Rattus norvegicus: one gene and its partner. The protein of the gene in region 1 purifies or fractionates together with the protein of each later gene. This does not show direct contact. Links are inferred from orthologs where the notes say so. Each region holds a gene or a part of one and is shown on either strand. Other genes may lie near its edges.

The links. The genes of interacting proteins can lie anywhere in the genome.
Region 2: the proteins of Eif4a3 (region 1) and Srsf3 purify together in Homo sapiens (affinity purification with mass spectrometry; 3 studies listed by BioGRID and IntAct, with this or other methods). This does not show direct contact. The link is inferred for Rattus norvegicus from reciprocal best matches to the Homo sapiens genes EIF4A3 and SRSF3.

Annotation. Positions count from the first base shown.
Region 1 is NC_086028.1:105,054,706-105,058,970, reverse strand, and holds the start of Eif4a3 (eukaryotic initiation factor 4A-III), read left to right. Parts: upstream 1-1,409; 5' UTR 1,410-1,469; coding exon 1,470-1,638; intron 1,639-3,244; coding exon 3,245-3,317; intron 3,318-4,265. UniProt on the Homo sapiens protein: ATP-dependent RNA helicase. Involved in pre-mRNA splicing as component of the spliceosome. Core component of the splicing-dependent multiprotein exon junction complex (EJC) deposited at splice junctions on mRNAs.
Region 2 is NC_086038.1:7,099,957-7,103,603, reverse strand, and holds the end of Srsf3 (serine/arginine-rich splicing factor 3), read right to left. Parts: exon of another isoform or gene 2,808-3,647; intron 2,761-2,807; coding exon 2,722-2,760; intron 2,563-2,721; coding exon 2,476-2,562; intron 2,389-2,475; coding exon 2,361-2,388; 3' UTR 87-2,360; downstream 1-86. UniProt on the Homo sapiens protein: Splicing factor, which binds the consensus motif 5'-C[ACU][AU]C[ACU][AC]C-3' within pre-mRNA and promotes specific exons inclusion during alternative splicing.

The sequences.
Region 1 (4,265 bases):
CTAAAAAAAGATATGTGAGCAGAGTGGTCCAATAAGAATACAATAACACCTTTCTCTAGTTGTTACATCTGATGAAGTAAAACAGTGAGATGAAACAGCGTTTTAAACAGTAACCACAAGCTATAATTACTCATTTCAACAGACAGTATGAAATGGAGACTTTACATTCTTTTCTTGGGATGTCATTAAAATCCCTGTGTCTTTTACAGCCAAGATTGCAAAACAACCCTTCGAGTCAGGCTTGCAAAAAAACAAAACAAAACAAAAAACGGCATGAGCACGTGGACTAAATCCTCATTGAGTGAGAAGGCATGAGAACTGGAACTTGGCCAACTCTATGCCTTTAGTGCTCTGATTAATACCACATGTATTATATGGTTTATCTGGTCTGGACAAATCCTGATACCAGAGCGGGAGCTGAGCTCTCAAAGAGAAGGCAGTAATAAAGAACTTGTTTTAACATGGGTACATTGCAACCCACAACTTCTCCATGAAAAGATCTGGTTGTAACTAAACTTATCGACATGAGTCTTTCACAGTAGCTTTTAAAGACTTGTTTGAGTATTTGTGTATTTGCGTGTGTGTACACACCACGAGTGTGGCCCCCACAGAGGCTGGAAGCACTGGATCGCCTGGAGCTGGAATATACAGGCTGCGTGAGTCACACGGTCTAAGTGGCTGGAACACAATCAAGGTTCTCTGGAAGAAGAGTAACAGCCCTTAACAGTTTAGTCATCTTTCCTCAAAAGCAGAAAAAAAGAAAGAGGCCACATGCAAATGAAGTTTTGCTAGAACTCGGGTTACGACTCGAAATTACAGGGGTCCTGGGATCCACTCTCACAAACAGAAAGACATGCCCCAAATAGCAAGGCCCTTTTGGAGCCTGCGTTGAAAATCAGGATCCTCCAGAGTGACTGGGGTCACCACGCCGGGTCAGAGGCTCTAAAGGATTCTCGGATGTGATGGCAGCTTGGGCGTCCCCTGCTCTCCCAGGCAAAAACATCTACCCACTCGGTCTCCACCGATTCCTCCCATCCACCACCCCGGGAGAGCAGCTTGATTCTCCCAGGTCGCCACGCTATGGTTGCCATGGCAACGCAGTCAGCAGCGCTGGAGCGCGGAGCCCACAGGACAGTGCCCTCTTCCTTTGCTCTGTACCTTCAGGGACACCTTGGCGTCACTCTTGCTCCTCCCTGAGACCCACATCCCTATCCCAAGTAGGCTGCAGACACCCAGAAGAGACAAGAGTATGCAGAGTCACGGACATCCAGAGACTGCCAGCCCAGTCCCTCGCCGAATCCCGCGGAGCACGGAATATCGCGAGGCTTGGAGCGCTTTGCCTCCCACCCCTCCTGACGCTCTTCCGCGGCGCTGTGTTTGCGTCACTTCCTCCCGACCGGGCCGGCGGCGCGAGCCTTGTTTCCGGTTCCCGCCGCAGCTCGCAGTTGTCTATTAGTGGGGTCGGGATCATGGCGGCCACGGCCACGATGGCGACGTCGGGCTCCGCGCGGAAGCGGCTGCTCAAAGAGGAGGACATGACCAAAGTGGAGTTCGAGACCAGCGAGGAGGTGGACGTGACCCCCACGTTCGACACCATGGGCCTTCGGGAGGACCTGCTGCGCGGCATCTACGCCTACGGTGGGGCGCGGGCCTCGGGGAAGGGGAGGTTGGGGGACGGGCCGCTTCAGACCGGGTGGGGAACGTGCGTCCGAGCTCCAGAGCTCGGGGTTCCCCGGTGCTGCAGTCAGCCAGGCTCCTCCAGTCGCTCGTGTAGCGGATAGCCATGTGTGTGTCCCTGTGAGGTGCCCCGAAGCTTTGATGGGGAAGTCGGGGCTCCAAATCTGGTGCGTTCGTGCCTTGTGGAGTTTAAAGCTTCCTAAGGAAGCGGGAAATACGAAGCAAGGGTGCTTCAAGCGGTGAGAATTGGGAAAACAAGAGAATGAGCGACTGGATAGAGTAGATAGATTGATAACGGTGAGTTAAAAGAGCCGAAAGAGAGCTCCCAGAGGCGTTCAGAATCCCCAGGGGAGAGGGAACAACTGGTCCTGGCTTCTTGAAGCCATTGCCTGACGAGTGCCAGGAACATAAGAAAGAAACCCCTCGTCATGTTTTAAAGGCATGAGTAAAGAATTTGAGATTCACTCCTAAATACAGCGGGGAGCCAGCCACCGCAGAGTTCTGAGCAGAATCGATAGGATCAGGCTTACCGTTTGAAAGTTTATTTTGGTGTCTGGATTTGGAGTTAGAAGAGGAGGCGGGGTGATGGCCGGACCATAGGAGAGATGGGGATGTTATTGTGGAGCTAAAGGATCTGCTGGCAGCAGATGCAGTGCATTCCTGGCTTTTTTGAGTGAATGGTGGGTCATGCTGTTGGTATTTGCTTAGGAGCATTTGAGGGAGGCCGAATGAACTCTTTTTGTTTCTGCTTTCTTTGTTGTTTTGCTTTTTGTTTTGTTTTGTTTTGTTTCTCCATGTACCCCTGGCTGTCCTGTAACTCTTAGTAGACCAAACTGGGCCTCTAACTCAGAGATCCCCTGCCTCTGCCTCCCAGATGCTGGGATTAAAGGTGTGCGTCACCAAGATGTTTAACAACATCTTTTCTTATAAATCCTATCTGCTTATTTGGAAAATACTTGTGTTTTCATTGTTTGTTTTGTTTTAAGACACAGTCTCTCTACCTAGTTCTGGCTGGTCTGGAACTCATTCTGTGAACCAGGTGGCCTGGAATTCACAGAGATCCCCCTGCTCAGCTTCTCCTGCTGGGATTAAGGGAGTGCACAGCCTTGTCCAGTCTTTCATACTGTTCTCCTTGCTAGTAGTGATGGCCCAGCAGGTGGGTGGTCCCTTGATGATGGGCCTTCGTGCAAACAGGAGAGCAGCACAGGGCGTCTCCCCATGCCTGTGCAGGCTCAGTACTCGGGAGACACCACCAGCTGGGGTTTGAGTGCTTGGTAGCAGGAAAGGGCAGCAACTGCAGTGCTTCTGGGTTTGTGCTTTTGCTTGTAGAGCGGGTTTGGTGTGGCTTAGACTGGCCTTGAACTCCTGATGCTCCTGCCTCTGCCCTCCAAGTGTTGGTGTAGTGGGTAGCATCTTGACAGGTAGTCCTGTAGGCTGGTCTGTGAAGATGTGCTCAGCTCTGCCTGTGTTGCCTGGGATTGGCAGGAAGGAGCAAGTGTGTGTTCCCCAGGTAGTTCATGCCGTCACAGTCCTGGGGAGTTACAGTGTTTCCTCTTTGCATTTCTAGGTTTTGAAAAACCTTCTGCGATCCAACAGCGTGCTATCAAGCAGATAATTAAAGGGAGAGATGTCATTGCACAGTAAGTTGTGGGCGCTGAGAGCGAGTTGGGTCCTCGGGGAGAGCTGTGGGGAGCTGAGCCTGCCTTATTTATTTATGCCGACTTGTTTTTGGATGTGTATTCTGGGTCCTATGGAGGTCATTGCACACACTACGCTGATGTAGCCCTAGGTCCTGAATGTAGATCTATGGATTTGTGTAAAGTACTTTTTCATTAGCTTTCTTTTCTTTTTCCTTTGAGACAGGGTTTCTCTGTAGACCAGGCTGGCCTCCAACTCAGAATTCTGGCTGCTATTTGGATTAAAGGTGCATGCTAGGTACAGAGCCCAGGGCCTTCTCTACTACTGAACTATAAATGACCAGTTATCCTTTACATCATACTTCAGACTTTAGGAGCTGGTGCATTAAAGGGAGAGGTCCCCTTTCTGCCTCCTTTGGGAAGTTCTTGTTGGCGTTGCAGTTTCTTAGTTCTGGTGTCCTGGTGTAGAAGCCCCACATCCATTCTGTCTGTAGCAGTTTGTCTCTCTGGGAGCTGTGGAGATCGCTCGCTCTGTTCCCAAGTTCAGTTCTTGGTACCCACACTGAGTGGCTCAGAGCTGCCTATAACTGCAGCCTCAGGTCCAGCATCCTCTTCCCGGCTTTGAAAGAAGTTTCACACATGTTCAGTCACACAGATAAGTAAAGGTGAAAAATAAGAATAAGAAGTGACCTTGTACTTTGGTCTCCCACTGTTGGAGTTAAGATGTTTGGGAGAGTGTGAGATTAATTCATGGAGTTTCTATGTCCTCCTTGTTCTCAGATAACTGCTGGTGTTTCTAAGCCTGCTCTAGCCTGGTGTTTTATTAACAAGCCGTAAAGCTTAAGCTGGCCAGGTTCTGAGACTCTCACCTGACTAGGCTGCTGACACCGGACACATGCCCTGTCACCTGCTGTCTGCTCTGGTCCATGTCTCTCCTCATGGTTTCTCTAT
Region 2 (3,647 bases), on another chromosome or scaffold:
AGTGCTATTGAGCCCTGTGGCAAGCATAGCTCATTTATAAAGTGCTGTACATGGATGGAGACACAATACACATAATATACTCCAACCCAGCTTAAAGTCAGTGTCTTTAATAAAAATCTTTTTTGTCCCTCCCCCAAAAGAAAACCAGAAGGCAACAGTCTGGCAGTACAAAAAATATACACTGGAAGAGATGACTTGTCTGGTATCAAAGTCCCATCTGGACTAAGAAAGGCAAAGCCCATTTAAGACAAGGCACTAACGCAGTGACTGGGGAGACTATGGCCGTTTCTCACCTATACATGCAGCACCTTAGACTTCTATAAGCAACACCATTCATTTCTAATTAAGCAGCAACATGCCAGAGTGAGGCTGAGAGTCAAAAACAATTACTAAGATCTCCTGTTCAGCTTCATGCCTCGGTCAGTGCCTATGGTCCAATACAGGGTGGAGATGCCACCATGACACTTAAGGAACCTGGATGGTAAAGGGCGGGCACCTACACCGTGCTGTAAAGTATGTACCTCTGAGGTGACCCACAATGAAAAGAGAATCCCAATCTCAGGTGCCTTTCTCAGTCACTAATAATGACCTCCAGGAAACACCTGCAGTCACCCTAACTTAGTATGACACTCAGAAAACGATCAAGAGTAGCTAATGTGGGGCCCTGGGTTGGTCCCCAGCTCCGGAAAAAAAAAAAAAAAAGAGTAGCTAATGTGACCTACAATTACAAGGAACAGGCTTGACTCCAACCCTACCCTGAAGGATAAAGCGCACTCCTAACAATTAACAGGGAATCTAAAGTATCTTCTTTGAATATGGCTACCTCTTTCAAAGGCTCATGTTGGAACCTTCTGAACACAATTCTCTCCTTTCTTACTGAAATTTATTGTAAAAAGATAACAAATTTTGGGGGATTTATAAGCTTACAGATTGAACCTTGTGCAATGGCATCTTACAAAGACAAAGTCAGTACAGTGGAATCCCAAAAACTATCTCAAAAGAACACATTTAAGGAAACTTAAGCCACGAGACTGTTGCATTATGATTTAATCTAATTGCACACAAAAAACCCCCTGGAACCACAGCTCCTCCAGATTTCTAAGAGAAAAGGTTTACATGCCTCCATATTCAACTGTGCATCATCACAATTAACCAGTGTGGATTTTACATCATGATGGATCAATCTGGAATCCCATGCAACACCTCAAGTTATAAAATGGAACGAATTATAAAATTTTGTTGAATGTCAATGACTTCATGCTGAAGATCAAAGCCACTTTTTAAGGGCAACTTAAAGGATTTACAGTGTGTCATAGATTGGTGCTTTATAAAATGTTAGTCACTAACTGCCATGATCCTGAACTGACTTCCACACCCAAAACATGGCTCTCATAGGTGACAAGCAAAGGGGGGAAAATTCCTTCGCTAACGCAGTGCCTCTCAGTTGTTTCTTACAAAGAACGAACTGGGTAACCAACTGCTTTCCAGGGATAAGAGCAATGGGGGTTCACTCAGCTGACTGCTTACTACACAATTATGCTAGTATTTTATTAATTCAAAAGCACTTTACAAGAAAATATAAGTATGGTTTCCAATAGGAATGTTATACCTGGACTTGATACCAAGCTCACAGATTTTGAGTGTGCAAGGAAAAACAGGCTTTCAAGTTAAACAACAATTTGTAACCAAAACTTTAATCCCAAGGATTCTCACAAACATATTACAAATGACAGCATGAAAAAAAATCTTGCACAGTAACTGAGTTCAGCTCTACAATGTACCCTTAAACTGATAGGACACTGGTATCTTAGTTTTACATTTCCAAATAAAGATGTTAGACAGCTCTGCATCCCCATACAGCAACCAGGAAGGAACCACTGTGAAAACCTTCAGAGTGTGGTTCCTACCCTTTATCTGTTGGTTGTGTTCACAGCAGCCTTTAAAGGCTGCTCACCATTTCACCCACAGTGCCACACTGTGTCTCAGCCACTAGGGGAACTACAGCTTTAGTCCATTTCCGCTAGGTGCTTGACGTCATCAGTACATCACTTCAAACTGGGCAGGATCTAGGTTTATTTCAGTCTATGAAAAACTAAAATTCAAAGAAAATTCAATCTCGCTTAAGGGAACATTGTAAAGTAACAATTCTTAATATCACATGCCTCATATGATCCATTTGAAACCATAGAGAATTACATCGTTTTGTGTGTCACTGTTCCAAGAGACAAAACAAATTTGAACAGCTAAAACATCTTAAAAATGCACCAAGCTTATGAAGTCTCAAACAAAACTTTAATTTCCTGTACATACTCCTGTCAAATGAAGTTATTTCCTGTACACCACTTTTGCCAACTGGTCTTCTATTTCCTTTCATTTGACCTAGATCGGCTAAAAAAACAAAAGAAAAAAATTAAACATTATCTTAGTACACAGATTACATATACATATCTTCAATACTTCAATCATTGATCTTACCTACGAGACCTAGAGAAGGATCGAGACGGCTTGTGATTTCTCTCACGAGACAGAGACCTTTCTCTTCTCCTATCTCTAGAAAGAGACCTAAAGCAAACAGAAGATACATTAGTTTATCAGAAATTCACCTCGAAGAAAGTCTAGCTCAGTCTAACTTAGTGCTGACTGTATGGTACCCTTGTCACTGTAATTACTAGCCAGAGAGTTAAGCTTCCATTTCTAAGAACAGGGCACCAAAACATTTACCTGCTCCGGCTTCGCGAAAAGCTTCTCCTTCTTGGGGATCTAAAAGCAGAAATAGTAAAATTAGACTAATTGTCAATTATTGTATGTGGCGTTGAGGCATTTCCCAACTTTTCAATTTCACTGTTGGGCCCAGTGAATGTGCCGGAGAACTGGCACTCATCGTCCAAAAATAAAAAAAGAAAAGAAAAAAAAAAAAAAAAAGGGCACAGAAGGATTAAGGAACAAAAAGCTCAAGTGAAAAGCAGGTATTCCAACCATGGATTCATTTTAACAAAGAATGCTTCACAGCAGATCTGTCCAATGCAAAACTTCATGTCAAACTAACTCCACTACCCCACAACACCACACCAAAATGTAGTCCCACAAGTAGTTCCAAAAACTGTACCATAAACCAGTATTTGGAACCCATGCAAAACCTTTAAGTCTCTAACAAGACTTAAGTACCAGGTGAATAGTGTAATTTTGTGAAAACGCGGTGGGTGTGGTAAACATCGATGCCATTTAGTGCTACATTAGAACTGCATTTGTGATGTCACATTTAAGAGTGTGTTTAGGCTTATCAAAATTACCGTAGCTTGGCCCACACTTCACCCCCATTTTTTTTTAAACTTTGAAAACTGTTAGTAAAACCATTTAAAGGTGATAGGATTCAACAAAATTTTGCTAGGAAGAAAAGCTGAAATCTGTTAGAGATATTAAATTTTAGTTTGGCATCTCACACATGCACATAAGCTCACTTGAAGGTCTAGTCACATTATGAGTTCCCTATCACCCTTAAAAGTTGTTTCAAGCAATATATTGTACGTTACCATTCAATTATGCACAGCCAGCCTTTGATCCAGAAAAAGAATTACTTTAAGCCGCTTACTCCTTATTTTTAACCAGCAGTAAACTGTATAAGCAGGAAAAACTTACTAGTTTTGGGT